4 linked regions of the Diceros bicornis minor genome follow. The protein of the gene in region 3 purifies or fractionates together with the protein of the main gene of each other region. This does not show direct contact. Links are inferred from orthologs where the notes say so. Each region holds a gene or a part of one and is shown on either strand. Other genes may lie near its edges. The genes, in order: CCT4, IER5, PPP2R2C and PPP2R1B.

What was found.
Region 1: the proteins of PPP2R2C (region 3) and CCT4 purify together in Homo sapiens (affinity purification with mass spectrometry; 3 studies listed by BioGRID and IntAct, with this or other methods). This does not show direct contact. The link is inferred for Diceros bicornis minor from reciprocal best matches to the Homo sapiens genes PPP2R2C and CCT4.
Region 2: the proteins of PPP2R2C (region 3) and IER5 purify together in Homo sapiens (affinity purification with mass spectrometry; 3 studies listed by BioGRID and IntAct, counting the BioPlex papers as one, with this or other methods). This does not show direct contact. The link is inferred for Diceros bicornis minor from reciprocal best matches to the Homo sapiens genes PPP2R2C and IER5.
Region 4: the proteins of PPP2R2C (region 3) and PPP2R1B purify together in Homo sapiens (affinity purification with mass spectrometry; 4 studies listed by BioGRID and IntAct, counting the BioPlex papers as one, with this or other methods). This does not show direct contact. The link is inferred for Diceros bicornis minor from reciprocal best matches to the Homo sapiens genes PPP2R2C and PPP2R1B.

Annotation. Positions count from the first base shown.
Region 1 is NC_080751.1:25,445,755-25,453,202, reverse strand, and holds the start of CCT4 (T-complex protein 1 subunit delta), read right to left. Parts: upstream 3,012-7,448; 5' UTR 2,885-3,011; coding exon 2,758-2,884; intron 1-2,757. UniProt on the Homo sapiens protein: Component of the chaperonin-containing T-complex (TRiC), a molecular chaperone complex that assists the folding of actin, tubulin and other proteins upon ATP hydrolysis.
Region 2 is NC_080743.1:86,109,359-86,116,054, reverse strand, and holds IER5 (immediate early response gene 5 protein), read left to right. Parts: upstream 1-4,069; 5' UTR 4,070-4,264; coding exon 4,265-5,221; 3' UTR 5,222-6,174; downstream 6,175-6,696. UniProt on the Homo sapiens protein: Plays a role as a transcription factor. Mediates positive transcriptional regulation of several chaperone genes during the heat shock response in a HSF1-dependent manner. Mediates negative transcriptional regulation of CDC25B expression.
Region 3 is NC_080747.1:5,388,407-5,396,172, forward strand, and holds the start of PPP2R2C (protein phosphatase 2, regulatory subunit B, gamma), read left to right. Parts: upstream 1-4,758; 5' UTR 4,759-4,786; coding exon 4,787-4,904; intron 4,905-7,766. UniProt on the Homo sapiens protein: The B regulatory subunit might modulate substrate selectivity and catalytic activity, and might also direct the localization of the catalytic enzyme to a particular subcellular compartment.
Region 4 is NC_080746.1:24,465,728-24,472,968, forward strand, and holds the start of PPP2R1B (serine/threonine-protein phosphatase 2A 65 kDa regulatory subunit A beta isoform), read left to right. Parts: upstream 1-4,228; 5' UTR 4,229-4,246; coding exon 4,247-4,360; intron 4,361-5,217; coding exon 5,218-5,308; intron 5,309-5,736; coding exon 5,737-5,837; intron 5,838-7,241. UniProt on the Homo sapiens protein: The PR65 subunit of protein phosphatase 2A serves as a scaffolding molecule to coordinate the assembly of the catalytic subunit and a variable regulatory B subunit.

The sequences.
Region 1 (7,448 bases), on a different chromosome or scaffold from region 3:
CCTTTTGTTGTTAAACTCACTATACGTAATACTTGTGTTCCGCCTATGGCAGAATAAATTTTAAGGATTTACCTAATCTTCCTTTAAACATCAAAATGGTACAATCTAGTTATGTGCTAATTGAGGACTATTTTTTTCTCCATTCCTTAAAACAAAACAAGCAGACCTCCTAACATACTATATAATTCACTTATTTGTTTACTCTCTGTCTCCTCTAACTACAGAGCATAATTTCTGAGGGTAAAGACTTTTGTTTGCTATTGTGAAGCTAGAATATGGATAGCCCAAGTAAAAAAATACCCTTTGACCCCAGAACAAAAACCCAAGCCCCACCAAAAAAAAAAAACACCCCAAACAAACAAAAGACCCAAACCTTAACTAAAAAACAAAAACTAAAATCATAGCTTTTGGTCATCATTAGTACGTTATGAAACATCTCTGGATATACAGTCTACCATTCCAAAGTTACTTATTCTTATTACTTGTCCATGAGAATATTTCTATTTTATTAATCCATTTGTTTTCTTAGAGAAATTGGAATTGACGAACAGTACTTGATCCCCTTGTCTTTGACAAATCCAGGACAAATGATTAAATCTTCCCCTTTCGCACATACCATCTCACCCCATCTACAGAGGCCTGAGATTGTGCCCCAGTTTTGTATACTCCACAACTACCACAATGCTTCCCTCCATATTGTGTGAACAATAATACACAATCTTAAAGAGCTTAAGAGAAAATACCTGGTATAATTTAAAAATTATTTTCTACTTAATTATTTCATAATTTGGGGCTTCTGTTCCTAATTATCAAGTCAATTTTACCCTTTCAAGCGATTTTAGTTGACCTCCATGACGATTATCCTATAAACAGACCGATTCATTTTAGAATGCCCTTCTATTCATCTATGTGAAGACTCTAGAATAACACACTATTCAAAAAATAAGATTTCAGACAGCTTACATCTCTGAAGGTGTCTGAAGTTTAGCATACTGTGTGGATGACTCATGCTGAAGAGTACTAGAACTACTACTACTTTCATGTGTGTGGTCTTTCAAAGCATCAACCAATGGGATTATCTTTTTGGTAACATAAAAAAAAAAAACCTGGCTCCCCAAATTAAACTAAACATGCACCTGGCAGCAGCTTTTCTCAATTTGTAGGGTTTTGTCCGACTTGGAAAGACTAGTCGTGCCCCTTTGCTCTATGAGTTCCCCTCACTTAAGATATAGAGCCAAGTTCCTAGACAATTTAGGTGACATTTCGTTCCTACATGCATACCTCTCTTGCCCAGTCTCAATTCTCTGTGCACTGCTGTTTCAAAGGTTACTACAGTAAACCTCCTATTCTGTATCTTCCTTCTTCGTTGACAATCTACTGTATTATCTAGCTCTTCTGACCCTCCACGCGCCCCAGAATTTATCTGACATCTAATGTAATCAATCTAAGCTTCAATTACACTCCCTAGACAACTATCTACCAAATTTTATTTCCAGGTATACATTCTCTCCTGAACTTTCAAATGACTCCTAAATCTACCCATCTGGTCACTCAGACCTCTCCAACTCATTCGGCCCAAACCACAACCTCTTCTCTCTTCTTCCAGCATCCTTCCTCCAGTGTACCTACTTCTTTTAGCATCACCATCACGCGCGCAGTGACTTGGGCCGATGGCCTCAAATACCTGTAAGGCTGTACTTTATATCCGTGGCTCTTTATGTGCTTTCTTCTTTAATCCTCACAGCAAGCGTACAGGTTAGCTCTTACCTCATTACGACGAAGAACAGCTGTAGTGCAGGAGCTACGCCAAACCCTTTCCAGGACACCAGGCCCTTCAAGATTTGGCCCCATTCCACCTTTCCAATCTCACCTCTCATTTCTTCGTGCACTTTATTCTCTCACCGAAAGAAATACTCACTGTACTCAAGACACACCACGGGCAAGATCTCTAAGCCTTTGTTCTCACTTTTCCTTCCAGACTCTTCTATCTCAACCAGACTTCTCTTAATCCTCACAACTCTAAGAGAAGCGAACATTTTCCTCCTCAATTTTACACATAACGAAAGCTTGGCTAGAGATTAAAGGTCACAAAAGCCACGAAATAATGTAAATAGAATGCAACTCAGGTCGTCTTAATTTCCACCAAGAGCCGAACACTGTTCTTCAAAAAAGGTAAACTGTCCCTATGTCTCGATTTGCTGGTGTTCGGTTGCACACGCAGAGAGGACACAAAAGCACAGTGTAGCTTTTTATAATTATTCTCAAACGAGTTGGGTAAGTCGGTTCCCCACACCCCGGTACAACGGGCCCCGCCACAATTGAAGCGCGGAGAGTTTACCAGATTCGCTTCAATAGCTGCGCCGAGAAAAGCTTACTTAAATGATATTTTTGTAAGAAGAAAACTGGAAAGTACTGTGCAAACAACATTCTACTAGTGGACCTAGTCAGCAGATAAGCGACAGCTCTTAAGTGTCAGATCCCAAGGGACCGCCGCACGCGGGCCTCGGCCGCTTTCTGCTGAAGTGTGATAAATGGTGCACAACCCAGGATGGAAAATGATGGCCGTCTAAGACCCAGACTGGGGCAAGTCCAAAGGCCTCCATACTTGGGGTCTGGAATTCTCCGCAAAAAACAGAAAGAAGGGTCCCTTCACAGAGCTGCTTCTACGGGAGGACAAGAAGGGATCACCTAGAACAGAAAATGAGCCGTGCGGAGCGCGACCCCGCAGGGCCGCGGGGAAAGCCCGGGAGGCGATACCTTTGGCCGCGGAGATGTTGCTGAAGCGGATCTGGGCCGGCTTATCGCGGTCCTGATAGGCGCTTTTCCCGCGGCCGCCGGCAGTCCCGGCGGGCGCCCCGCTTCGGGGTGCCACGTTCTCGGGCATGGCAAGCTTTGCGGGGTCTGCGCGGACCCAGGAAGGACGGATGGACTCGGATTCCGGCTCGGCGCAGACTAACAGTGGGCGTCCCCCACCTTCACGAATCTTCCAGAAAACGGAGCCGGCGCCGGGAGGAGGAGGTTGAGAAAGGGGCCTGCCTGGCGGCGCGGCGCCGGCATGACGTCACAGGCTGCCCCCTGCGCGCCGGGTGAAGCGACTGCGTCGGGGAGCTCGGGACTCGCAGGGGATGTTGCGCAGGGCGCAGGGGGTCGGGGGCGCGGTGGGGCTGACTCACACGAGGCAGAAAGGACAACCCGCGATTGTAAAGGCAGGAGTTGGGACACCCACATCTCCCCACCCCACTCCCTGGCCATGAGGTCCCTTCCGTTAAGTCAAGCTAGACCTGTCCGCGAGGTGGTGTCCGTACCCAGATTGCTCCCGAATGGTTGGGGCTGAGCCGGTTTTTGTGGGGCTGCATAGAGCTGTTTTTAATTCACTTTTATTCATTGTGAAAGGGGGGTCGAAAGAGAGATTTGGGAGGGCTGGCTGCTTTCCTTTGCTTTAAGGGTTGGCGTTGGTTGTCTCGTATTGATTAATACTGGGTAGTAGAGATTTAAATATACACTGGTTGAATACCACAGTCTTAAAAGTTTTGCAGCTATGATTGCCTGCCAAATCGGGACTGTCTGGTTAGTACAGCTTCCTCGTTTTACACTAGTTTGTTCTACCTAACGTAGCCATTGACTCTTAGGAAACCTAAGTATTTTAATAAACGATCATTTAGTTCAGTTATGCGCTAGGCGCAGTGCTAAACCCTTTACACGTTTTATCTCAATTCTCACAACAAGCCTATGAAACAGTTGCCTTTATATTTTTTTAGTAGATAAAGGAGCCGCAGCAGAAAGAGAACTGAAGCCCAATGTACCAGTAAGTAGATGGAAGCAGTATTCCAGTACAGAGCAATGACTTCAGAGGTCATGAGCTAAACTGCTGGGCTCTTATTACCACTGTATTTTAATATGGAAGTTTATGCAGGTGAGGTTCATTCAGTATTCATTCACAAATAATTATTAAGCACCCATAAAGTAACAGATGCCTGGATAGGTACAGGAACAGTTGTTCCAAGTACTTAATCCTGTGATCCTGAGGAGCGTTTATAGCATTCAGTGTATTAGCGCTAGAAGATGAGGCTTCCTAGGTGCTCTGCCATCCGTAAGCCTCTGGGACTGACTTCAAAGGACCAGATTACTTCTATCTTGGCCTATGAACATTCTATAGTTATTTAAGACAACCGATGTGGTATGATGGTGTTTTGAGAGGTTTGGTGGATTTGATTGGAGGCGTAAAGGAACTTTTCAACACAGACGAGTGGACTGAGTGTATACTTTAGTATATAGGGAAGAGTAAAGGTAAAGGCAGCAAACAGATTATATAGGGAAGGGTAAGGACAAAGGCAGCAAACAGATCCGAATAGGTCAAATAATAAGAGGGAAAAACATCAGGTCGATCGAAAAGGGAAACATCAGATCGACCGAGATAGAAACAGATCCGAATAGGTCAAATAACAAGATCCGATTGATCGAAAAGGGAAACATCAGACCGACCGAGGGGAAATAACATCAGATTAATTGAAAAGAGAAGCATCAGATCGGGTACTTAACAACATCTACGCCGCGTGGGGGAGAGTCCCTTGAATTGACACGGCTTGGCGGGAGTTCTGATCAACAGTGGTCCTGGGCAAGGCGTCCCCCCCACAGGCGAGATTCTCGCCCAAGCAGAATTGTGAGTTGCTTTTATGCATGTTTTCATTTAGAGACCATCTCTATGGGAACATTTGGTTTTTTGTTTTTTGTTTTTTTTCTTTTTTTTGCTGTTATGAGGTGTGTATGTGCACTGCAACTCCTGGTACTTATCCCTGACCGACACAGATGGCCAGTCTGTGTCTGTCCTTGACATCCCAGGAGTTTTATAACCTAAATAGTTGTAGCTAGTATTGTGGGAGAAAGGCCGGTTTCCATCACAAGCAGCTGCTCTGTATTTTTTAGTGTGGCTGGTTTCCTAGGGTCACCAAGCGGACAAACATGGCAACACTTATGTTGTCATCTTGGCCGTGGCCACTTGGTTATCCGTAAGAAACCAGCCGCATGGACAGTGAACTTTATACACAGCTACACATAAAACATCCTGTGATTACAAGGTCGATGCATAAGACAAATAGAAAGCAATCAGAACAAATAGATCCCATATGCCAGGGTAACCACTTAAACAATTTTTTGGAATAAGAAATGTTATCAATTTGATTTTGTAAGTCATTGATTATAGAATTTAAAGTAGAGGTTTTATTAGTAACATTAAAGCAACATATTTTTGGTATTTGAATACATGAAAATTTATGTAATAGGAAAAGGTAATCTAGCGCTGCTGGCTGCTTGTTGAATCAATGTTTCCCTTTATAACTCTTGTAATTTTTTTAGAAATAGTAAATAAAGCTCTAACAGTGTCATTCATAATATGAGTGAGTAAACAGGACAGATGTTTAATTTGTTTGTGATTATTTACAATTAATTTTGGATCGAGTAACAACAGGGTAGCTAATATTGTCACTGTGGATATTGGTAATAAGTTGACATGTGGATCATAATCTGGAGTTAAAGTTTTCTTATATCGAACTCTTTCTTTGGGATATGTAGCAAGCAGGGGTATTATTACTCCTACTCCACAAGTCATTGAAGTATTTTTTGGAACATATCAATAGACTTGATCACCGCATAGCCAAAATAGTTTTGTAGGAAAAGTTACAGATGTGGCGCAAGGGGTTACAGTATGATTACAATAGGTAGGGATATAAGTGCAATTAAGGGAATAACAAGTGGTACTGGTAGTACTAGAAATAGGAATTGAGGATAGGGAGAATGAAGTACTGGCGTTAACAGATGAAGTAAAAGTATGGCTATGGGGTAGACCTAATCCTAGCAAGTTAGCTTGGAGTAAACTGGGAGGATCATTATTATTGCGCAAGCAGAAAGAGGTAACATTAAGAACATTGTTAGCCAAATGAAGCCAAATATTAGAGTTACCTAGAGTGTTGGTGGCATTTGGTAAAATGCTGAGAAAAGCAGTATTGTTTATATATGGAGAGTTAGGTTTCCCTTTTTTTTTACTCAATGTATGAATAAAATCTTCCACTTCATAAAGTGGAAGCAGGTAAAAGGATGGAATAATTTGTATTTTGTCTGTGTGACTGGTCAGAAATGTTATGATATGACGAGGTGAAAATCAGCCTTTGTGACCAAATAGTCTGTTTATTTAATGTCCAAGTTACAGGTCCAACTGGCGTGAAGCAGTCTGTCTAGCACTGCAACAGCAGTGGTTGTCCAACCATGACGTTCAATGGCATAGCAGTCCGAAGAAAACAGGAGGTGCTCATTGTGGCAGCAATCAGCAAGCTGATTAACAGTACCTATTCACATAAAGAAACAGCATTTTTAGGAACATGATATAGATTATTGTTTTTGGGGTATATAACAATTAGGGTGGCTGTGGTTCTTTGTGCTATGATTTTGGCCGCTTGGGAAGCAGTATGCGGAGGGTGTGTAACTCAAACTGGCTCTAGGTTTTCAACCATATGTTGAGTTGAAGCCTTGTAATTTTTGGGGGGGGATAAAATTGAGGGAGGGCTCCCCCTTTTTATTTGTGGTGTTATTAGGGGAAGGATAAGTAGTTGTCCAATTTTGTCTTCTTTTTGTAACCTAGTTAAAGGTGTGTCATTAGGTCCTATAGGCCTATTGTTTAAAATATGCAAAGCAGCGTTTAAATGTGCATACCAGTTTTGTAAAGAATTTTTACTTAATTTGTGTAGCTGTTGTTTTAACAATTTATTTATTTTTTTAATTAGACCAGCAGTTTGGGGTTAGTAAGGAATATGATATATCCATTTAATATAATTTTTTTTTGGCATAGGTTTGTATTCACTTACCTGTAAAGTGGGAACCGTTGTCACTCTGAATTTGTCTTGGTGTTTTATAGTACAACTTAATTGTATTTAATAATTTTATGGCACTCTGCTGGGTGTCTGCTTTAGTCGGCATAGCTAATAAATAGCCGGAATATGTGTCAACAGCAGTGTAGACGTAAATATAGCCACAAGAATTTGGCAATGGTCCAATAAAATCTATTTGTCATGTATGGGTGGGAAATAATCCCTTTTGGATATGACCTTGGTAGGGGTGTGGAACTCCCCATTTAACTATTGGCATATTGACATTGTTGTACTGCAGTGGCAATATTATCATGGGTGATAAGGATTCTCCTTTGTTGTGCCCACCTGTATGAAGCTTGTTCTCCCAAGTGTCCACTCTTTTCATGGATCCATTGTGTTAAGTCTGGGTTGTGTGTTGCACGAATTTGCACCAGCTGATCAGCATAAGAGTTATATTTTTGTTCTGTAGAAATTAAAGAACTGTGAGCATCAACATGAAATACAGTAATAATTGTGTTTTGGCACCATAATTATATGTTTTTTTATAATTTTTTTAGTGAGACATAATGTTTATTTTTATAATGAATTTAT
Region 2 (6,696 bases), on a different chromosome or scaffold from region 3:
TTCTAGTTGCTGTATGTGGGATGCAGCCTCAGCATGGCCGGAGAAGCGGTGCCTCGGTGCGCGTCCGGGATCCGAACCCGGGCCGTCAGTAGCGGGGCGCGCACACTTAACCACTAAGCCACGGGGCCGGCCCTACCAATTTGTTTTTAACTGAGAAAAATCTCAAAGATTGATGAAGGCAAGTTCTAACTCAGTTTCCTGCTTTCTAAAGCTTAGAAGAATATGTTCTATATCTTCCCACTTTTTTTTTGGCAGGTGGAGGTGAAGCTTGCTGATCATAAGAGCCCAGGAACTCCAGAGATGAGTTCTCAAGGTTCCATTTTGTTGTCTCAGGATTAGAGGAAATCCTGACAATAACAGTGATCGTGCTCAATTTCAAGTCAGCAGACATTTATTGGGCACCTATCACGTGGCAGTAGAAAAAGCATTCAAAATTCAATGAGGACTAACAGTGTTCCTACTACATGCTTGGTACTGAGCTAGGCACTGGTATAATAACAATAACAATAACTAGACTTAGTAAGTGCTTGTATGGTGCTAGGACTGTATTAATCGCTATAGGTATTTTTATTCTCCTTTTGCACAATAGATCACCGAGGCACAGAAGGGTTAAATAACTAGCCCATGTTACAAAAGTGGGACATGATATTCTCATTTCCCCTAAATGTGAAATAAATTCCCAAAGGTCACACAGCAAGTAAGAGGTGGAACAAGGTAATCTAGCCCTAGAGCGCCCACTCAAGCTTTACAAGTAAATAGTTGGCGGTTGAAGCCCACTCTCTCCACCCACAGCTGTATGACTTTGGGAAAATTACTCAACCTTTCAGAGTCGTAGCTTCCTCATCTGTAAACAGAGATAATGACATCTACTTTCTGAACTTTATAAGGAGGATAAATCATGCCTGTACAGTGACTAGCACAGTGCCGGGTAGACAGTATCATTATTAGCGATTCATGAATCCAAGTGCATAATCGCTCAGTATGCACTGGTATGGCCACCCCAGTTGTTAAAATATTGAAATGCTTCCACGCTGGTTGGCAGAGCCTCTGCCCCAGGCCCCTTGAGTGGCCCCCTTCCTGGTCATCCAGCCCCTCCTGCAGGAGGCCCCATAAACCCTGGCACTATAAGGGCCACCAGGACTCTGTTCTGATGGTTAGTGCCTGTGTTGCACATTTGTTAAATATTTTCACTATCTTCTGGCTATAAATTTCTGATGGGTTCCTGCGTTTGATGAGAGCACAGTTTGGGAGGGGCCCTGGCATGACAGGAGAAAGTGATGAGGGCAATGATGAAGGAGTGTACTTCGTACAGCGGAGGATGTGAAGCGCCCAGGCCAGGTGGGTCGGAAAGGCTTCACCAAAGGCCTGCTCTACCAGGACCTGTTTAGGGGTGGGGGCATCCCGGATCATCACTAAATTTCCTTTTGTCTCAGTTTTTTCATTCTTGCTACCTCCACCTAGTTCAGGCCTTCATGACCCTTTGCCTAAACTCTCACAAGAGCTTTATAATTAAGTGGTCCTCTATAATTAAGTGAAATTAAGTGTACCAACTGTTCTAGAATCCATTCTGTGGTTCCCTTACTCAACAACCTTTAGTAGCTCCCTGTGGCCCCATCTCCTCAATGAGACACACATGACCCACTATCATGTAGCCACAGCCTCTGTTTCCAGCCTTTTCTACTTACTACAGGCGCCTGACACACCTGTCAAATGAGATGTTCCCTATACTGGACTCTGTCACTCCTGCTGCTTGGAACTTGTGGATCCTACATCAGGGTTTTTCAACGCCCTCCTCACATACAAGTTCTTTCTCTCATCTGTGTTCCTTCCCTCCCCAGCCTCTCCTCCCACCCGCAGGTCATGTGTGGGGTGAAGTGTTCTAATAACTAACATACGTGGATAGCTTATTATTATTACGCCAGGCTCTTCTAAGACCTTTACATATGTTACCTTGTTTTATCCTTACAAAAACTCTAAGAGGTAGGCACTATTATTATCTCTATTTTAAGATGAAAAAGACCTAGGCACAGAGAGGTGAAATAACTTTCCAAAGGTCACACAGCAAGTAAAAAGTGGAGTTGGGATTCCAACTCAGGAAGCTTGTCTTCAGAGCCTATGCTCTTAATCAGTGTTTTATAGTGACTAATAGCTCTCAAAGAAAGAGAAAATAGAAGAAAAATTTTGTCATGTTATTACTCAAAATATATGTCTTGCTTTTGGAATTGTTCATGTTGTTAGTTTATCTCCTTTATACTAGCTGGAAATTCCTAGAGAGGAGGGACTCTGGGTCTCATGGACTGGTGTCTCAGTTACTATCAGTGAGTTTCGGGCCTAGGTAATGTTACTGAGCCATCATCCTTTGGAGGCCTCCTGATTGTGAATTGGCCATAACCAAGCCCACCTTTCACTAGTATTTCTCCTAACTAAATACACCACTTGGCCAAACCCTGGTGCAGGATCAGGCCAACTGTTTCACATGGACTCCAAGAAACCTATGCTTAGCTTTATGATTCAGATTGTGGCTGAGAGTTTTCATTTATCTTCTGCATAACAGAGGAGACGTGTATGTGATTTCTCCCTTTTAGAATTGGAGAAACTAACGTGCCTGAGGTTATTCACCCAGAGTCAACAGGCAGGTCTGTGGTGGAGCTTAGGTGAGACTAACTCGAACTCACTCTCCAGGAGCCCAGTCCAGGACTCTGGACAACCCTGCAGTGATTCTCCCCTAATGCCATGTACTAAGGATCAGTAGATGGACGATGTCATTAACTGACCAGAAAATTCTGGAACACTCTTCCCCTATATTTTTACCTTGACACAAAATAAAATTATGACATTATGATGGGAACACAGGACTTCTCTATTTGTATTTTTAGAACTTGGCTAGATTTTTCCAAGGGTGGACTGGTCAGGCCTCATGTTGAAAAAAAAAAAAGCATTGTGGTGAACCACAATTCATTTTTCGTCTCATTGTAACGTGCATAACAACTGTGTTTGTTCTAGAATCTAGAAAACAAAATAGATGCTGGCTTTAGTGAAGAACCAATAACTTTGTACCTAGACACAATTCCTTTGTATCTAGACAGATTAGCAGCCAAAAACTTAGGAACTTTTAGAACCCCCTTTTTCTTTCTTCGGGGTTAGAATTGACAGATGCTGGGCCGGCCTGTGGCTTAGCGGTTAAGTGCGCACGTTCTGCTACTGGCGGCCAGGGTTTGGTTCCCAGGCGCACACCCGACACACTGCTTCTCTGGCCATGCTGAGGCCATGTCCCACTAACAGCAACTAGAAGGATGTGCAACTATGACATAAGCTATCTGCTGGGGTTTTGGGGAGAAAAAAGGAGGAGGATTGGCAATGGATGTTAGCTCAGAGCTGGTCTTCCTCAGCAAAAAGAAGAGGATTAGCATGGATGTTAGCTTAGGGCTGATCTTCCTCACAAAAAAAAAAAAAAGAATTGACAGATGCTAAGAGTGTGTGTGACTCAAGGGGGCAAGGGATTCATCCAAAATTAATATCTGCTAAATATTTTGTAGTAATACCATTTGTTATCCAGCGGTATCCTTTGCCGCGTTTTGCCATCATCTCCGTTTAAGCCAGGATTGGCCAGGAGCTTACAGGTGTGTGCAGCTTTGGACATGGTGGCGGGGGAGGGGAGCGGGCTGATCAGGGAAGGATGGGGACTTTACTCCGGAGCAAAGTCCACCACCATACTAGGATGAAAGTTCGAATGATTTAGTTCTCTTTGGTTCCAGCAAGCCAGCACACAAGCCACAAAATTTAACTACGAACAACACTGTGGCTACGCTCCCTCCCCATCACCTGCCTTCTGACCACAAGTCCCAACCCACCTGCCACCCCACACACCGTCGCCCCCTTTAAGAGCCTGCTCCGCGGGACTGATGTTCGAACTGCCCTGGCGGCCCTCCTCGGTCTCCGATTGGCCGCGCGAGGCGCACGAGGGCGCGCCGGCCGGCCCGGAACGGTTGGCGGCCCTCCGCGATTGGCGGGCGAGCGGCCTATATAAGGCGTGGGGCGGCGCGGCTGCCCTCAGTTAGCGACCGGATCCGAAGCTGGGTTTTTGTGTGTTGTGGTCGGGACGCGGGCGGCCGTGAGCGCGTCACCGTGAGTCGTTTTTCTTTAGTCTGCTGTTCCGAGGGTCTACCCCCGGGCCGACTTGTGGACGCCTCTCGTCCCCTCCCAGCTTCCGAACGTGCGCCAGGGCTCGCCCCTCACCTCCGCGCCAGCCCGTGAGGGAGGCAGGATGGAGTTCAAGCTGGAGGCTCACCGCATCGTCAGCATCTCCCTGGGCAAGATCTACAACTCGCGGGGCCAGCGCGGCGGCATCAAGCTGCACAAGAACCTGCTGGTCTCGCTGGTGCTGCGCAGCGCCCGCCAGGTCTACCTGAGCGACCCGTGCCCCGGCCTCTACCTGGCGGGGTCCCCGGCGCCGCCGCAGCCCGGGGAGCCGGCGGCCGGGCCACCCGCGGGCTGGGGGGAGCCGCCCCCGCCGGCCGCCGGCGCCGCCTGGCCCGAGACGGAGACGCCGCCGGAGCGCCCCGCTGTCCCGGACGCGCCGCGGGCGGGTGACGCGGAGCCTGCGGCCGCGGCGCCGGGCGCCGGGGACAGTCTTCAGGGCGGAGAGGCGGAAGCTGCTTGGCGCCGCGTGGAGGGCCCGCGCGAGGCGGCGGCCGGGGGAGCCGGGAGCCCCGCCGTGGTCGCGGACCTCTGTCCCGAGGGGCCCCGGGCGGCGCGCCGCCCCTGCGGCTGCCCCGCGGGAGGGGAGGACCCGCTGGGGGCGCTGAGCGCGCCGCCCCGCGTGGACTGCCGCTGCGCGCCGCGGCCCGCCGAGGACGAGCGCTCCGCGCCGCCCGCCGTCGGCCCCAGGAAGCGCGGCGCGGCGGGGGTGGGCGGCGGCCCCGCGGGCTGCCAGGCGCTCGGCGCGAGCCCGCTGAAGAAGCCCCGGCGGCACTTGGAGGAGCAGCCGGCCGGGGCGGCGGCGGAGGAGGAGGAGGAGATGGAGACCGGTAACGTGGCCAACCTCATTAGCATCTTCGGTTCCAGCTTCTCGGGACTCTTACGGAAAAGCCCCGGGGGCGGCCGGGAGGAAGCCGAGGGAGAGGAGAGCGGCCCGGAAGCCGCCGAGCCCGGGCAGATCTGCTGCGACAAGGCGGTGCTGAGAGACATGAACCCGTGGAGCACAGCCATCGTGGCCTTCTGAGCCCGGGGGCCCCGTGCGGGAAGCAGGTTGAGCAGCGGGCGACTCCGACGTGAGGGCTGGGCCTCTCCCGGCTGCGAGGCCGCCGCAGAGACGAAGGCGCCGGGCGCGGTGCGGAGACTGTGGGTGCTGCTGGGCAGCACGGACTCACTGCCCTCGGCCTCGGCGGCCCTGCGGGGACTCGGGGGCGTGAGGCTTATTGGAAGAGGACGATCGTTAACTTTTGTGTCTGTGTATGTGTGTGTCAGTTTGTCTTGTTGAATTAAGACTATTTTGTCCTTCTGGAATGCGTCGCCCTTGCCCCGGGGCTCAGGAGGTTGGGGGCGACAGGGACTTTCCTCTGCCGGCAGCACCGAGAAGGAAGCGGCTAAAAGGGCCGGGGCCGGGGAGTTCCCCATTCGTTCTCGGGGGAGGAAGGGACTTTACACACACCCCTTACATGAAAGCCAGAACCGCACCCGGGCCAGGAGTGGCGTTTCCTCCCAGGATTTCCTAAATCTAGAGGGATTTAGTCTGGAGTAGAGACTTGTGTCCTTTTCTCTCCCTGCCCACCTTTCTCTCTGACTGAAGAAACGTCTGTACCCTGTGATTACTCTGGGAAAGGGGAATGTTAGCGGCCCATGTCTTCCCCACAGGGAAAAAAAGCTTGATAAACTTCACAGGAAAGTTCAAGCTTGGAAATATGGAGTTTATAGAGAAGAGATATATTTTCAAAAGCTCTAGATCAGAACTACTACACAGTGCTTTTAAAAAGTGTTTAATGAAACAAAGTTTACAGACAGAAGCCCTAAGTGGAATGACCTTCTGGGTTTGTATATATGGTGACTCCAGTCTTTGTTGTATAAAGGTTGGGGGAGCTGACAAGGTTTTTGTACAGTTATTTTCTCCGTTGTATTGATTTTTGTATAAAAATGTAACTTTACGTGTCTAACACGTATTAAATATTTTGAAGGAACTTCACTGCCTCCTTGTGTGTAATCACCTGTCTGGGCTGGGAGGGAAACAGGAGGGAGATCTATGGTCTGGGCTGGAAAATTGAAGGTGTGGTTTTTAATATCAGTCATGCACAGACTGGGGACATTGTTTGCTGACTTCACTAAGTATCAAGAGAAACACATTTAAGGTTTCTCCCCCCAGATCAGGGGACTGCTTTTAGATACTAATATCAGTGCCCTGCCAGTTTCTTGAGACCTGCTACTACAACTGTCTTTTCTCAAGTCAATTTAGACCAGTTTGGTTTTCTACAGCCCAATCTGATGGTGTCTAGTGTTAAATAACTTAAGTGCTAACTTTTGAAGCCACAAAAATGGTTCCCAGCCACAAAAATTGTTTTCTCTAAAACTACGTTTTCTGTTAAACTATATAACATAGGTCATTTTTCAGCTTTCTTATTGAAAAAAATCTGACATATGAGGGAAGGTGAGACTGATTTGCCCAGCTGGTCAGGTCCACCTCTGCATTCCAGTGGATAGCAGGAT
Region 3 (7,766 bases):
GAGGGTGGGTGCTATCCGGGAGGGCCAAACGGAGGCCACAGGGAGGGAGGGGCGCCGGGAGCCCCAGGAACGGTGGTGCTTCTTATCAGAAGCTTCCCGAGGCCCAGAGCCTGGGTCAGCAGGCAGTGAAACCGGGGGAAGGGCTACGCCGTTGATTAGTGTAACCCAGAGGAGCGGCCACGTGCAAGTCTGGTCTGTGCACCTGGGAGCTCTAGCTGCTTCTTGTTTTCTCTGAAGCAGCATCACCACCACCACTTCACCCTCGTCCCTTTTCACTTCTCCCTCCCCCTGCTCATCCTTTATGGTGTCCTCACAGGGTGCCCGGAGCCCAGAGTCTGGCCCCATGGAGGTGTTGGCCAAAGGAGGCAGCATGGAGAGGCAGAGTAGCACCTTCTAGCACCATGTTGTGGACACTGGAGGACCTGGCTTAGATGTGTTGGCCAAATGGGCTTCCTAATACTTAACTTCAGAATTTGTCTGGTGTAACCCCCATCTCTGGACTCTGGCAGGTGTGCAGCAGCAGAATAGAGCAGGCTCCCAGTGGGCACTGACTCCCAGGAGGAAGGGGAGAGGAGGGGCTGGGCTCCTCATGCCCACCCCTCCTTCCAGATGCACCAGAGCCAGCCACACTCCCGCTCAAGAAGGGGAGAGGCCAAGAATGTACACAGGAGCGTGCCTTCCCGTGGAAGGACACAGCAAGAGTCTGGAAGAAGTGTCTTCTCCACTCCCCCAACCCTGTCAAATGGTCTCAGCCATCCTGTGGGCTGGTGACAGTGTGGTTCAGTGGTGGGAGCCAAAATCTTGAGAAACAGAAGGATCTGGATTCAGAGTCCAGCTCTGCCTCTTGGCGTCTGTGTAGTCAGAGGGCGTAGTGGCAGCCCGGGCCCGGGCAGTGGGTCAGGGTGACTGGAGCAAAGGTGGGGGAGGGGAGGGAGCATGGCAAGAGAGAAGCCTGGACCAGGTGCTGGCTCAGCCAGGGCTCCTCCCGCTGCGTCCTGGAGATAGCAGCTGGTCTGGGAAAGCTCAGGCTGGAGGGGGTTGGGGTGGGTAAGACAGTGGTGAGTGCTAAGCTGCGCAGAGGTTGGGGGGTCCCAGAGGAGCATGACAAGGGACATCAAGATGACAGAAGGGACTGCACTGCTGGATTGCCTGTGGCATTTTCGCTGGGCAGTGGAATCAGACCTGGATTTGAGTGCTGGCTCCCATTCTTGGTAGCTGTGTGGCTTTGTCAAGTTGTATGACCTCTCTGAACTTCAGTTTTCTCATCCATGAAATGGGGGAAACTCCCTGCTGTGGGGCTGTCGTATGAGCACCGAGCCCAGGCCTGGGCGCACAGGTAGCCTAAGGATTGCAGTCTCCTTGTCAGTGTACGTCCTGAGAGGGGTGGGAGCGGGTGTGGAGCTGACTCCAGCTTGAAGGCTGGGCTGCTGGCAGAGGTGGTGGAGGAGTGGGGTTGTTTCGGAAAGTGGTGGGCTCAGTCCTAGACATGTGTCTAAACTGCTGGTGAGAAATCCAAATAGAAAGACCCAGTGTGACAAGCAGGGATTGGAACAAAAATGGGACCTGGGGTCCTTATCACTTGTCCTGTGGATACAGGAGCTGGACGCTCTGTGTGGGCCCAGCTGGCAGACCCAGTAGGGGGAAGACCTGGAGGAAGGATGTTCCCACCACCACTGCTACCTTCAACTGGAATGGGTTGTGCAAGGAGGTAGTGAGTTCCCCATCATGGGAGGTCTGAGAGTCTTGGCTGGAGGTCTGCTTGGGGGGCTGTGGAAAGAGGGTTGGACTGGATGACCTTCAGGTGCCCCACTGTGTGTCTAAAACTCTTCAAAGCCCTTGGCAGCTGCCTGGCCTCTGCACAGGATTCGGGGTATAAAGGTGTTCTCCCAAGTGTCACTGTCACCGTGGCCCAGACACGTGAGCCTCGGGCTGGGCAAGCATATCGAGTTGTATTTTTTTTTAAGCAGAAAACAGTAAAGCAGGCACAAATTTGCCTTTAAAGTAAGATACTGGGCGTCTGCCAAATGCAAATGGATTTAAACAGCTGGAAGTTTAAATCTGACCTTGAGACGTGTCATTGGTGGTTTTAGAGGGGCTCTGAGCCCCCATCAGGCTGTAATGGTGGCCCGCTGGCACTGGCCAGTTTGGGCCTGTTGGAAGGCGCCTGGGATGTTCACCTCTGAGCGAGGGCAACTCGGCCAGTCCTCGACCATGTGGACGAAGGGAGCAGGGCTGTGATCTACCAACTCTGCGAGAGGACAGGGCTCTGCCCATTGTCCTGGCATTCCATGGTCCTGTCCCCCCAGATACCTGCATCCATTGCTGTCACCACCCCGTCCCATCAGTACGAGTGACATGGTTCCTGCGACCACTGGGAGAGTGACCCTTAGCTCAGTGTCAAGGGGAGCGGACTGCTAAGGAAGTGAAGAGCACGTACTGAGCATCTACAAACAGCCCTGGGAGAGAGGTGCTTTCAGATGAGGCCCCTGAGGCTCAGAGGGGTGAGGTGACTGGCCTGAGGTTGCGCAGCCAGGAAGGCGTGAAGGAGTAGCAGTTTCCACTGGGGTCTCCACTCCCTGTTCTTCCCTCCACACCGCAGTGCCTCGTTTTAGGTAACACCCAGCACAGGGCCTCGGGGACTCATTAGGAGCTCACCAAGAGTTCCCTTCCCTTCCCTCTTGCTTCTCTGAGCTCGGCTTCCCCACCTGCCCATCTTGCAAGGCTCTAGGAACTGGTGAAATGAGAGGCGGATACTGGCTCTCTGTGTAAACTGTAAAGTGTTTCCCAAGTGACGGGTCGATATTAATGCCTGTGCCTTCCTTGAAGACAAAAGGGATTGCTGCTTTTGCCTGGTGCTCCCGCACGGCCTCCTGCTTTCTGTCTGCCTGCCCTCACCCCCGTGGAGAACACAGCCCCCTGCATATGGGAAGGCTCATGTTAATTTCCACCAGAATTCCCACTGTGCACACGGACAGAGCACTCGCACACGTAGCTCAGGTCTTTGGATAACTAGCTCTTTTCATACGGGTAGAAAATCATGCAGAGCTCTCCTGAATAAATCTTCAGCCTGCCCTGCCTCCAGCTGAGTAACTTAACCAGCTCAAGCCAGGTCTAGATCTAGCCCGGAGCAGAAATGCTAGGCAGTATTTTGTTTCTTTGAATATTTATTTATCTGTTAAAACCCTTGCTACACAGCCATGCATGCACACACAAGCACACACACAATTTGTATTGTTGTCCAGAGCATAGTTCTATAGATTTGGGGCTCACTGATCTGTTTCTGGCCATTGACTGGCAACATAGCACTGACCGCAGAGCTGCGAGTGAGGATTCTCTGATCTGATGCAGGGAGCCTAAGGAAGCAGTGTTGGGCCCAGGGTGGAGGAAGAGGAAACCCCCAGGAGGAAGAGGAGGGCGTGAGCAGGGGCTTCAGGGATGGTGGTGTGTTGGGAGCTGGCCGGTGCTGGGTGGGAACCCAGCTCTGCCCACTTGCTAGTTGTGATCTCGGGCCAGTTGCTCACTTCTCAGGGCCTCAGTTTCTCCCCTTGCTGACAAGAGGATTGTTGGGGTGTGTAAATATAAACATGTGGGTCGTGCACCAGCCACAGTGGAGACCTGAATCAGCTCCTGCTGTCGTGACTGGAAAGAAGGCTCGTGCGCTTGCATGGGTCAGAAGGCAGCCAGGGTCTCCCCACCCAGTGAGGTCAGGTCCTGGCTCTGATGACCACACCAAGACAGATACTCGCGGCCTACCGGACGCACACGCCGCAGCATCTCCCGGGCACATTCAGTTACGGCTGAGATGGATTGTTCTGCGTCACCCATGGTGCTTCATCAGTGACAAAATTGGGCAGGTCCTCATGTCAGAAGGCCCTGGCGTGGAGCCCAAGTGGCTGAATAAACGGGGGGTTCAGCTTAAGCTAATGGAGTGTGTATGTGTGTGAGTGTATGTATGTGTGTTCCCTGTTTATTCTCTGGGAGAAATAGCAGGAAATCTTTAAGAAATGATTGTGTGTCAGTCCCACAGGCAGGGGCTGTGACTGTTGGAATCATCTTTGGTACTTGGCCCAACTTTCCAACGTAGAGCTTTAAATGAGGGTGCTGTCAGATGCGGAAGAGAAGACCCACAATTGTTAAGTGCCACGTGCACAGAAGCACTAGGTGCTACCTTTGAAGCTCCCAGGTCGCTCGAGTCCTGATCGAGTCCTGATCATGCTGGAGGCTTGTGCTCCTTGGGCGTTCCTTCATTTTTGTTCAAGCACACAGCGGCATCTAAGGAGCGCCTGCTGTGTGCCTGGGGGCGTATCAACGAAGGTGCAAAGGTGCCAGTCACTGTCACAGTAGGCAGGTGGCCCCTGGGCCTCATCTTCCTTACCTGTAAAGTGGGCCACCACCACCTACCGGGTAGGTTATTTTGAGGGGTCAGGAAGATGAGCAATGACAACATTTAGTGCGATGCCGGGCACGTTGTTTGTAAGTAAATATTCCGTTCCGACCCGTCGCCTCCTCCTCGCTGCTTTTGACTGGCAGATAATTATCAGCTTCTGAAGTCGTTAGGAGAATGTGTTTTTTATTATGATGATGTCATTAAAACTGATCTTTTATCCAAGGTAGCTTTTTTACGACCTCATCCAGTGAAGATTTACCCGGCTCCTTCTGTGCGCTCGGCACTGGGCACGGGGCCTGGGAGAGGCGGAGCTGGGAGTGGAACCTGCTCTGAGGAGCTTACGCTCAGGTTGCACACCCGCTCCTAGAACCTCAGGGCCAGAGGAAACCTGACGCCTGAATGATGCTTCTGTTTCCCTCCACAGCATTTCCTACAAGGGAACCTGCACCTTCTCTTTGCACACCTCCAGTGACAGGGAGCTCACCACCTCCCTACATTCTACCTTCAGCTTTGACTGGTAGGTTCATCCATAAGCTGAGCTGAGTTACCTCCCTGAGTTCCCACCCACCAGACTGGTTTTGCCTCTGGTGCCACACAGACCAAGTCAGCTCCCTCTTAGCCACAAGAACCCACCAGAGAGCTGAGGACAACAAGCCTTGTCTTCCTTGAGTCTTGTTTTCTCCTGGTTAAACATCCCACATTTCCTTAAGGGTGCTTTTGGAATGGGGTTTGGGATCCCTTCTGCCCGAGTGCTCTGCTCAGAATGCACTTGGTTTGTCTCTGTTCCCCAAAATAATGTGTCTGTGATTGAACCCATCTCCCCAGCACACAGCAGCTCAGACCATCGTCTGCCATGGTCCTCATGGCACTGTCCAAAGTAGACGGCTGTGGTGGGCACCCTCATCCTTGTGAGCACACCCCTTGCTGAGTCACAAATGTGTGACATTGGAAAAGTCACCTAAACCCCCTACACCTCAGTTTCCTGATCTGTAAAATGGGGGAGTTCATTTAACACTTACTTCATAGGGTGCAGTGGGGCTTAAAGGAGGTACAGCAGGTGAGTAGTGCACCCAGACGGGGCCTGGCACGTAGGTGCTCGTCAGCGCTGGCTGCCATGGTCCTTATTGATTTATTATTGGCCTGGACCCCCGAGAGCTCCTTCACTGAGCTGGGCTGGTGTGTGTGGCCCAACCCCAAGTCTGGTCTCCCCAGTCTGCTATAGGAAGGGCCTGCCACCCCCAACCCTACCAGCAGGAAGGACTAAGGGAAAGAAGAGAATCAGCGACTTGCATTATATTTAACAGATACTTAAATAGTGCTTACTGTTTGGCAGGCACTGATCTAAGTCATTTTCAACTATTAACTCATTTAATCCCCTAAACAGCCCCTTGATTGTTCCCCATTTCCCAGATGAAGAAACTGAGGCACCATGAATATTAAGTACCCAAGGTAAGTGGCAGAGCCACTGGGATAGAGGACTGTTAAAAACTCCAGGTGGAGAAGAGACACAAATTTGAAAACTTACAAGAGCGTGGTTGGTTTAGGGAGAACCATAATTTGTGTGGAGCAGGGCACGCATGAGGAATGATGGGAGGAAGGTTGAAAGGGGATCCTCCTTGCTGTGTGCCAGGCCCTGTGCCGGGAGCATCACACCATCAGCGCTAATATTCACACTGGTGCTGGAGGTAGGCACAGATAGCCTGGGCTGGAATCCCGGCCCCACCGCTTCCTGGCTCTGTGACTATGGGTGTCTTACTTGCCCTCTCTGACCCTCAGTTGCCTCAGCATTAAAATGAGAGTAATAATAGTCCCAACTCTACAGGGCTGTTGTGAGGATCAAATGATCAGTGTATGTGAAGGACTTTGATCCTGCATAAGTGTTTCTGAAAAAGGGTGACTTGCCCAGACTTGGTGGTAAGTGGCAGAGTGGGCTTCGTTCTCATCTGTCTGACTCTGATATGCCATGCTGCCTTATGCTCAACCAGGCCCCGCCCACACACCAGCCAGAATGGCCCCCTCAATGGCCCCTTCCGTCACATGCTTGGCACATTCCTGCCACTGCACCACACAGTACCTGTCCCCCGGCATGCCCCCCCATTATCCTTTTGATATTTTATCTTCCATCTAAATCCAAACTCAAACCCCAGACCCCAGTAGCTGGCGCATGAACTCTCTCCTCTCCCAGTACTGAATCTCCTTCTAGTGCACACCCCCAATTATTCAGTCACTGCTGCTGCGCCCCGAGTCGGGTTGGGGTCTCCTCCTTCGTAATGGGTGTCTAGAGCGCCCCCGGAGCAGAGGGTTTATTAAATCATGCACCGAGGTTTGTAGAACATGGGACGCATCATTAGGCCCTGCGTGAACAAGCACGCCCGCCTGCTCCCGGCACCCTGCGCTGGCTCCGGAGCTGGTGTAATTACAGCTTACATGCAGTGTCATTAGCTCCGTGAGGCTGCTAGCGGGCTCCTGCCTTTGGGCTCCACCGACAGTGGTCCTGAGGCTCAGAAGCCCAATTCTAAGCAGGTGTGTCCATCTCCTGCCGGTGTGCTAGTGGTGCAGAGGTGCAGAGCTGGGGCCCTCTGTTTAATTAGGGCACCTGAGGGACACATTTCAGGTTTAGATGGTGACATGAGGCTGGCTCCTCATTCTAAACTGCTTCCTGAGAGATACCCCCAGACCCCTGAAACCAGAGAAGGCTTCAGGGGGAGGTAAAAACACAGCTTTCATCAAACAGACTCAAATGAAAGACAGGAAGGGCGCTCCAGGTCCGTCTGCTCCAAGCTAGTGAGCTGAGTGCCTGGCACCTACTGGCCGGTTTTCTAGAAAGCTCTCTGAGGCCACACTGGATGGGGACTTTGTGGTGAGGGTGCCCTGCGATCCTCTAGGGGCTCCTGAGACAGTGACATCCTTAGCTGGCTCTGGCCCCCTGAAGTGGACCCAAGGCAGCCACCCCTGGTCTGCTCCCCAGGCTCCACCCTCCCCTCTGACCACCCTCTGCATCCTTTGCCCTTGGGGTTTGTCACAGTGTGACCCGCAAACCGCAGGTAGCAGATGCACTCAGGGACTTGTTTAAAACACAGATTCCCAGGCCTCACCCAGACTTCCTGATGGCAGGGCCAAGGAATCTGAATTCTTAACAAGCATCGCTGTAATTGCCATTCCCTGCTCTATAGGATTATACGTGTTTCTCCTGGCCTCCCCTGCCTGCCCTGCAACCCCTGGGAATCCTTACACTTGCTGAACTCACCCCCACTACCGCCCACATTCCCACCCCAGATTCCTGGGAGAGAAACGTGATTGGCTCAGCTCTCTGGGCAGCCTGGTGATTGGCTGCTTCTAGAGGGGTGTGTCTACCACTTGATCCAATCAGCTGAGGATA
Region 4 (7,241 bases), on a different chromosome or scaffold from region 3:
TAGTGATAAGCTATGGCATGAAGGTAGGGATGAAGCAAAGAGTAGTGATAATCCCTGATTATGAGTTCCATAGCTTCTTCTGATTGACTGTGTGACTCCAGGTAAAGTCTTTTTCTCTTTGTCAAGTATTCCCAGCCATGAAAATGGGTTTAAAATTTTGCCAAAAAGCAGAGAAGAGAAAGAAAGTAAAAATATTGAGGTGAAGTTGAGGGGGGAATATTTGAGACCCGCAGAATGAGGATATTCTTTGTATAAACATAAATTCAAAATATCATTAACACTATAATGATAATTACTAATTTGCAATGAATTAAGTGCAGACCTGGGAATCTGTTTACCAGGGTCAGCTTGCTAAATGAAGAAAGCTGGAAAATGCCTGCATGTACCTCAGGTTTTCTGTACAAGAACTGGGCCATCCACCACTTTCCTGATGGCCTTTTCAATGGGTCGGCACTGCTGGGTCTGCCCTGAGAGAACGACCTACATATAGGTCTCTCTGCTGCACTTGGCCTTCTCTCCCAGTGGGGTGACTCTGGAGCAGATCAGTCCTGGAATGAGCGCCTGTTTGTAAAGCTCTGTGGACTGTGAGGAAGAGGCAAGCTTAGTACATGTGAGGTGAGAGGTCAGAGAGCACAATGACGTCATTCAGGCTTCCTCAGGACTGACCCTCTTCTGTTGTGACATTGAGAGCTGTTAGAAACACAAGAGTTGATGGCTATCGATCCCATCTGCCTGTGCTGCTCCATATTCTTGATGCTTCATCTGACAGGACCTGGGCAAATCTAACCCTGTCTTCCCTTGATTCACTGGGTGAGTGAACTGTATGTGGGTATCAGAACTCAGTGTTGAGAATGTCACATTGTTTCCTGAGTGTTGCTTCAAATCCTCAGCATTATCTCAGCCATTCCCTCTGGTGCTCCCTGGTCATTAGTTTCTTGTGTGTGTGGGATGTGGACAGGAGACCAGAGGGCGCAATAGAGAGGAAGAGAGCATATGGAAACAGCTCAGTGACACAGTTCTGTATTTGTAGTGCCTAGCTGACTTCCAGGAATCCAGCAAAAGAGGGATCGTCTTAATCTGGCAAAAACCACAGCCAATAGGGATAGAATTGCTTATTGATAAGCAGTTGTAGCTATCATTTGCTTTTTCTGGACTGAGGTGGCTTCCAGATACTCTTTTCAGACTCTCCTTGAGCAGATGCTTGTTGATATGGTACTTATTTTTCCAGATGAACTTTTTAAATCAATGTCTTTCGAACGTCATTGCACATTAGAACCACCAGGGGTGCACGGTAAAATGTCCTGCCCCGTTCTCAGGGATTCTGATTCAGTAAATCTAGGGTGGAGGCCAGGAATGCACATTTTTCCCCCAGTTTTACTGAGAAATAATTGACATAGAGGAATCTGCATTTTTAAACAAGCAACTTATGTGATTCAGATAGTCAGTGGACCACACTCTCCAAAAGACTGTCTTACATTTTGTTCTAGTTTCCATGTGGCCCAATTTTTGAAATAGCCTCTTTCTGCTTCACTCTGTTTTAATCACTTTCTTTATTGAAGGATTTATTAGCATCTCCATGTTTACTACCTGTTTCATTCTCACATCATCACAGTAACCAGAGAGGGAACCAGAGGGGGTTAGCTCCATTTTATTGGAGATGAGGGGGTGAGAAGCAGGATTGAGGCATAGGGAGAGGTATGTCACAATGAGTCAGAGACAGAGGTGGGAATTGAAGTCCAGAATTGATGACTCTAAAACCAGGCAATTTTCTGGGGCCTATTTTCTCAGCTTGTGATTTCGTATTTAATCATAGTTATTCTTTAGGTGTCCAATTCATTGTGCTTGAGTAAGCAAAGCGTACTTGAGTTTTAAACAAAATAGCTTAGCATCAATCCATGTGCTAATTTCTGTTTAGCAGATGGAGGGTTGTCTAAGCTTAAGCTAATATCTAGATGATGGTATGTCTGGAATTGACTTAATGTGCTTCTCTCTGCATTTGCTTCCTTTATCATTTCTGAAGACTTTTTACATAAAGTATAAGGAAACAGATTTCTCCTCTCCATGCCAATAGGAACCCCCTCTGATCTACTTGTTTAGTACTGGTAAAGTACTAAATCAAAAAACCTCTCAGCCCTCTGTTTCTCAAACTTGAGTAGTATTTGGATCCATTTCTAAAGGAAAAAAAAATCTTGAAAACTCTGTCAATTAAATTTTTATTACAATGTTACTTAAATTTATAAATATAAAGTAGGAATATAATGTTCTTTTATTTATAGTTCTTATACAACTAAAAAACCAAAAAAGATTTACATATTAAATACATATGAAACCACAAAACTAATACTATGCATATTAATATAGTAATTTAACATGACAATTGATGTTTTGCTTAGACTAAATTATCCCTTGTATTGTGACTATGGTATTGCTTGTGAAAGATCAACGTCTTTTGAGTTCAACATGCCTATGCCACCAAGTGACCTCTGACATCTCAATTTTCTCACCACTTTTCTGTTAGAACTACTGCAACAGTGCAGTCCCATGATGTCTTTTTTTTTTTTTTGGTGAGGAAGATTGGCCCTGAGCTGACATCTGTTGCCAATTTTCCTCTTTTTGCTTCAGGAAGATTGTCACTGAACTAACATCTGTGCCAGTCTTCCTCTATTTTGTATGTGGGTCACTGCCACAGTATCGCTTGATGAGCAGTGGGTGGGTCTGCACCTGGGATCTGAACCCTCGAACCCCAGGCTGCCGAAGCAGAGCACATGAACTTAAACACTATGCCACCGAGCTGGCCCCCATGATGTCTTTTGGCTTTCATTTTGTGCATGAAAACACCATTTTCATTTTAAATCCACCTCTGTTCGTTTCTCATTATCCCCAAACAATAAAAGCAGAATTGAAACACACGTGCAAATGTAGGTACTGAAATCACGTGGCAATACCAGGTTATGAAGTGGTCACCCAAATAATCCAGTATATGCTTATGCAAATCTAAAAAATATTATCAAAATGAAAACAAAATTAAAACCCTAGAGAATACATCCATAGACCTAATTTGAGAAATACTGTTCAGGTCCATTCACTCCCAAACTTCCACTACTATCATATGCCCTATCTACTGTATTTACTTCCAGGAACCCTATGTTTTAAAGAAAAAGTCTCCTAAATTGCATTTATTAATAATTTTACATTTTTATTAATCAGACATAGAACTACCATTTCAAAGCTTGTGATCACCATATATAGGTATCAGTCTAAGCTGCTTATAGTCCAAAACAAACAAAAAGACAGGACATTCTAGTAATTCTCTGCTGCCCTAACAAGGGTAAATGAAAACTTTCCATTAAGTTTTTTAAGAAAGAACTCCCATACCCTCACATCCTCCCACTGCTGCCTTTCAGGACTCTTGGAGTTCTAGGGAGGCCAGTTTAGCCTTTCTTGTACAAGCAAAGTAGCCACTCCACTCAATTTGGAAGGATTAAAGCTTGTCCTAGTTTTGCTTGATTGTTGTACTTCTAGCATGCTAAAGATCTAAAAAATGGGAGGAAGAAAATACAACAGAAGGCACCATTCCAGTACCAAACTGAAAAGAAACACAAAAACAAGAGAGCAGCATGTTTTTAACAGCTTGCATGGAGAAGGCGGAAAAAATATTGACTGGGGAGTTTGGACAGCACTGTTCATTTTCTCTCACCGCCCGCGTTATTTGTCTTATGCAGCAGGAGCCAGATACAATTCTGGCGCACAGGCCGAAGGAAGAGGTGGAGGGGTTCTGTGGAAGCCTGAGGCTAGTGGGGAAATTAGAGCTGGAGACCCACTGGCTCAGGGCCAGGATGAAGTGAGGGGAGGCGCTAAATCTTTTTTCCTCCTAGCCTTGGGCATCCTCTTTGGTCCGCCGGAATCCTAAGAGGACACAGCACGGATCACTCAAGTAGGTCCCTGACCCCTTCAGAGCACCACGAACAGGATGAATCCTTGCCCCTGTTTCTTTTGGCTGGGGAAAGGACGCAGGGGCTCCATTCGGTTTCTTAGCCCACCCTTCTTCTGGTGTTTAGAGCTACAGCTCCCCCAAGGGGGACCGGGCGAGGGCCTTCACCAGCCCGGCAGACATCCAGGTCCTCCACCTTGGCGGAGAAGGAGCGCGGGCATTAGCTCCGCCTGCCTGGGCGCGGGGCGGGGCCTGGGCGCGGGGCGGGGCCTGGGCGCGGGGCCGGAGGCAGCAACCAGGCGGAGGAGAAAGAACATGGCGGGCGCCGCGGGCCCTGGGCTCGGCCCCGGGGCAGCGGGCGGAGATGGAGACGATTCGCTATACCCGATCGCGGTTTTAATCGACGAGCTCCGCAATGAGGACGTGCAGGTACTGGCCTCGGGTCGGGGAGCGAAGGCGGCCCAGCCAGGCGCGTGGGAGGGAGGCGGGAAGGCCGGCGCCGCGGTGGGGGTGGCCGGGGGATGGAAAGAGGCGGGCTCCGAGCTGAAAGTTGAAGGGGAGGAGGGGAGCGACCCTTGAGGGGCTGTGGTGCCTCGGCGCGACCTTCCCGGGGAGCTCTCCAGCACCCTTCCTCCCGACCTCCTGAGGCGTCTGCCCGGCGTCCCACCGGTCCAGGCGGTTGTGGGAGAACCGGCCTCCCGCCTGGGCGCCCTTCCGGGCCGTGCGGTGGGAGCGCCGCGTCGAGCGCTGGGCCGGCCGTCCTTGTCGACGAGCGGCCGCAGGGAGGGCGGCGCGGGGCCGCGAGGGGCTGAGCAGCCGGCAGCGGCGCCAAGGGGCCCTTTGAAGTGCGGGTGAATGAATGCCTTCCTCTGGGCTTGCAAACCGGCCGGGATCGTGGGGTAGAAAGAGGGTGGGGTGGCTGATGAACCTAGAGGAGTCGGTGTGGCAGCTTTGGGCGAACTTTTCTTTGAAAAGGCGGGAGTTGTATTCAACCGTTTCCTGCTTCACCACTGCCAGAGTTCCCTTTCTAAAATGTCTCACTCCCTGGATGTTGTATTCTCTTTCATTCATTTCTCTAATGGGGCCTTCAGAGTGTTTCTACTAGGACATCTTCCTAATGAAGCCGTGTTACGCTGCTCCTGACGTTCCTCATAGAATAAAATCTAAACTGAAGGTTTTCCTCATTCTTACTCGTACGCCATCTCACCTGTTGGCAACTTTTGTCTTTTGGTCTAAATCACAACTATTTCTTTACTTCGTTCTTCTTTCCACTTTCTTTTTTAAAGCTCCGTCTCAACAGTATTAAGAAGTTATCAACAATTGCTCTAGCACTTGGAGTAGAAAGGACGCGAACTGAACTGCTGCCATTCCTTACAGGTATGTGAATCTTTGTTTAAAGAAAGGCATGGGCATTTCTGTTTTCCAGTGGCTTTCAAAATTTTGAGTATTTTTTAGCATTTGTTACCCCCAGTATTATTAAGTGCTAAACTGAGCCTGATGCTTTTGGGGCAAAAGAGAACAGGACAGGGCATATTGTAATATTGTGGCCAGACATATTCAAACATTAACTGTTTAGCTAATAGTAAAGTAATTGTTGATAATGGGATTATGAATTTCTAATTCATTCTGTAAAACAGATCTAAGACGACTCTTGATTGAGAAGGAAGAAAAGACTGTTAAAGGATTGTGACAGGACCGTCGAGTTACATATTAAGTCTCTTCATGTCTCTTCCTAGTTTTATGTGAGTGTCCAGTTCTGGGCCAGCTATCCTTGTTGATGAGTATTGGGTTGTTGTCATTTCCAGATACAATTTATGATGAAGATGAGGTACTGTTAGCTCTTGCAGAGCAGCTGGGAAGTTTCACTGGCCTGGTGGGAGGTCCTGACTTTGCCCACTGTTTGCTGGTGAGTATATTCTGCCTGCCCTCCTTCTAGAACTTTTGCAGTATAAATGATACATTGTTTGGTGGTAGACACACTGCAGCATTTTTTTATGCAGATCTTTTTATGGATAGTCGCAGTGTTAGCTATTGAGAGAACAAATAATGTAGGTACTTTGGACTCAACCCTTTCTTATTTTTTCTGACTATGAATATAAGAACTTCCTCTTTTCTGCCTCTGTAGACTTATTTGTTAGTTTAGAGGTTGGGAGAAAAAGGATTTGATTGGTTTTGTTTATTTTTTTTTCTCTTGAAATTGGAAATCTTAATTCTCATCTAGCAGTGTCATGACTTTGGAAATGTTTGTTAGCTTTTTGTCTTTGATCGTAAGCATAACGTTTGCTTCTGGCTTACTTTGTGAATTTGATGAGTTCACTTCAATTTAGTTGACATTTATTGAGAGCCTACTATATCAGGCACTGAAGTTACAGTGTTAATGTTAAAGAAGACTAATGTGAATGGAATGAGGTCTCTGTCCATATTTGTCAACAAATAATTACGTACAGTGTTAGATGGAAAAATGAAAGCACATACAAGGTACTCAAGTAATGGAGAAGAGAAAGAGTTAACCTAGGGTGATCAGGGATGACCTCATGGGAGATGATGTCTGAACTAGGTTTTGAAGGATGACTAGGAATTTGGATAGTTGCAGAAGATAGGCATGTATGCTTCAGGGCTTAAATACTGTGTATATCATGCTGACTCTTGTGATTTTATCTCTACCTTTCCATGGAACTTCAGATATAGCTATAGAAAGAGAGATATAGATATCTATCTGTTGTCTCTATATATCTGCCTATGATTTTTCCACTAGGATGTCAAACAGACATTTCAAATTTAACATGCCTAAAACAGATCTCAATTTTCTCCCCAAAATTATGCCTTTCATTTAGTTGTCCCATCTCAGTAAATGGCATCACCGTCTACCCAGTTGCACAAGCCAAAACCTAGACGACATTCTTGAATCTTCCTTCCCTCATTTCCCACATCTAATCCATTAGTAACTTCTACAGATTCTATATACATTCCAAATCAGTCCACTTTCCTCCATCCCTACTATTAGCTGGCTCATCTTTCCTCTAGTCTTTCCAGGCCACATGATCTTTCCTCTAGATTACTACAGTAACTTCCTAACTAGTTGCTTTCCCCTCTTGCCTCCCACCTCACCCCTACAGTTCACTCTTCACCCAGCAGATGGATCACTCCCTGCCATGGCTCTTAGAAAATCCACATTTCTGCCTTAGCTTGTATCTTAGTTTACAAAACCTGCCTCTGTGAGCTTATCTCATATCGTGTTCCCTCTTGATAACCTCATTCCATTCACAGTGATCGTCTTTCTGTTCTTTGAATAAACCAAGCTTATTATTGC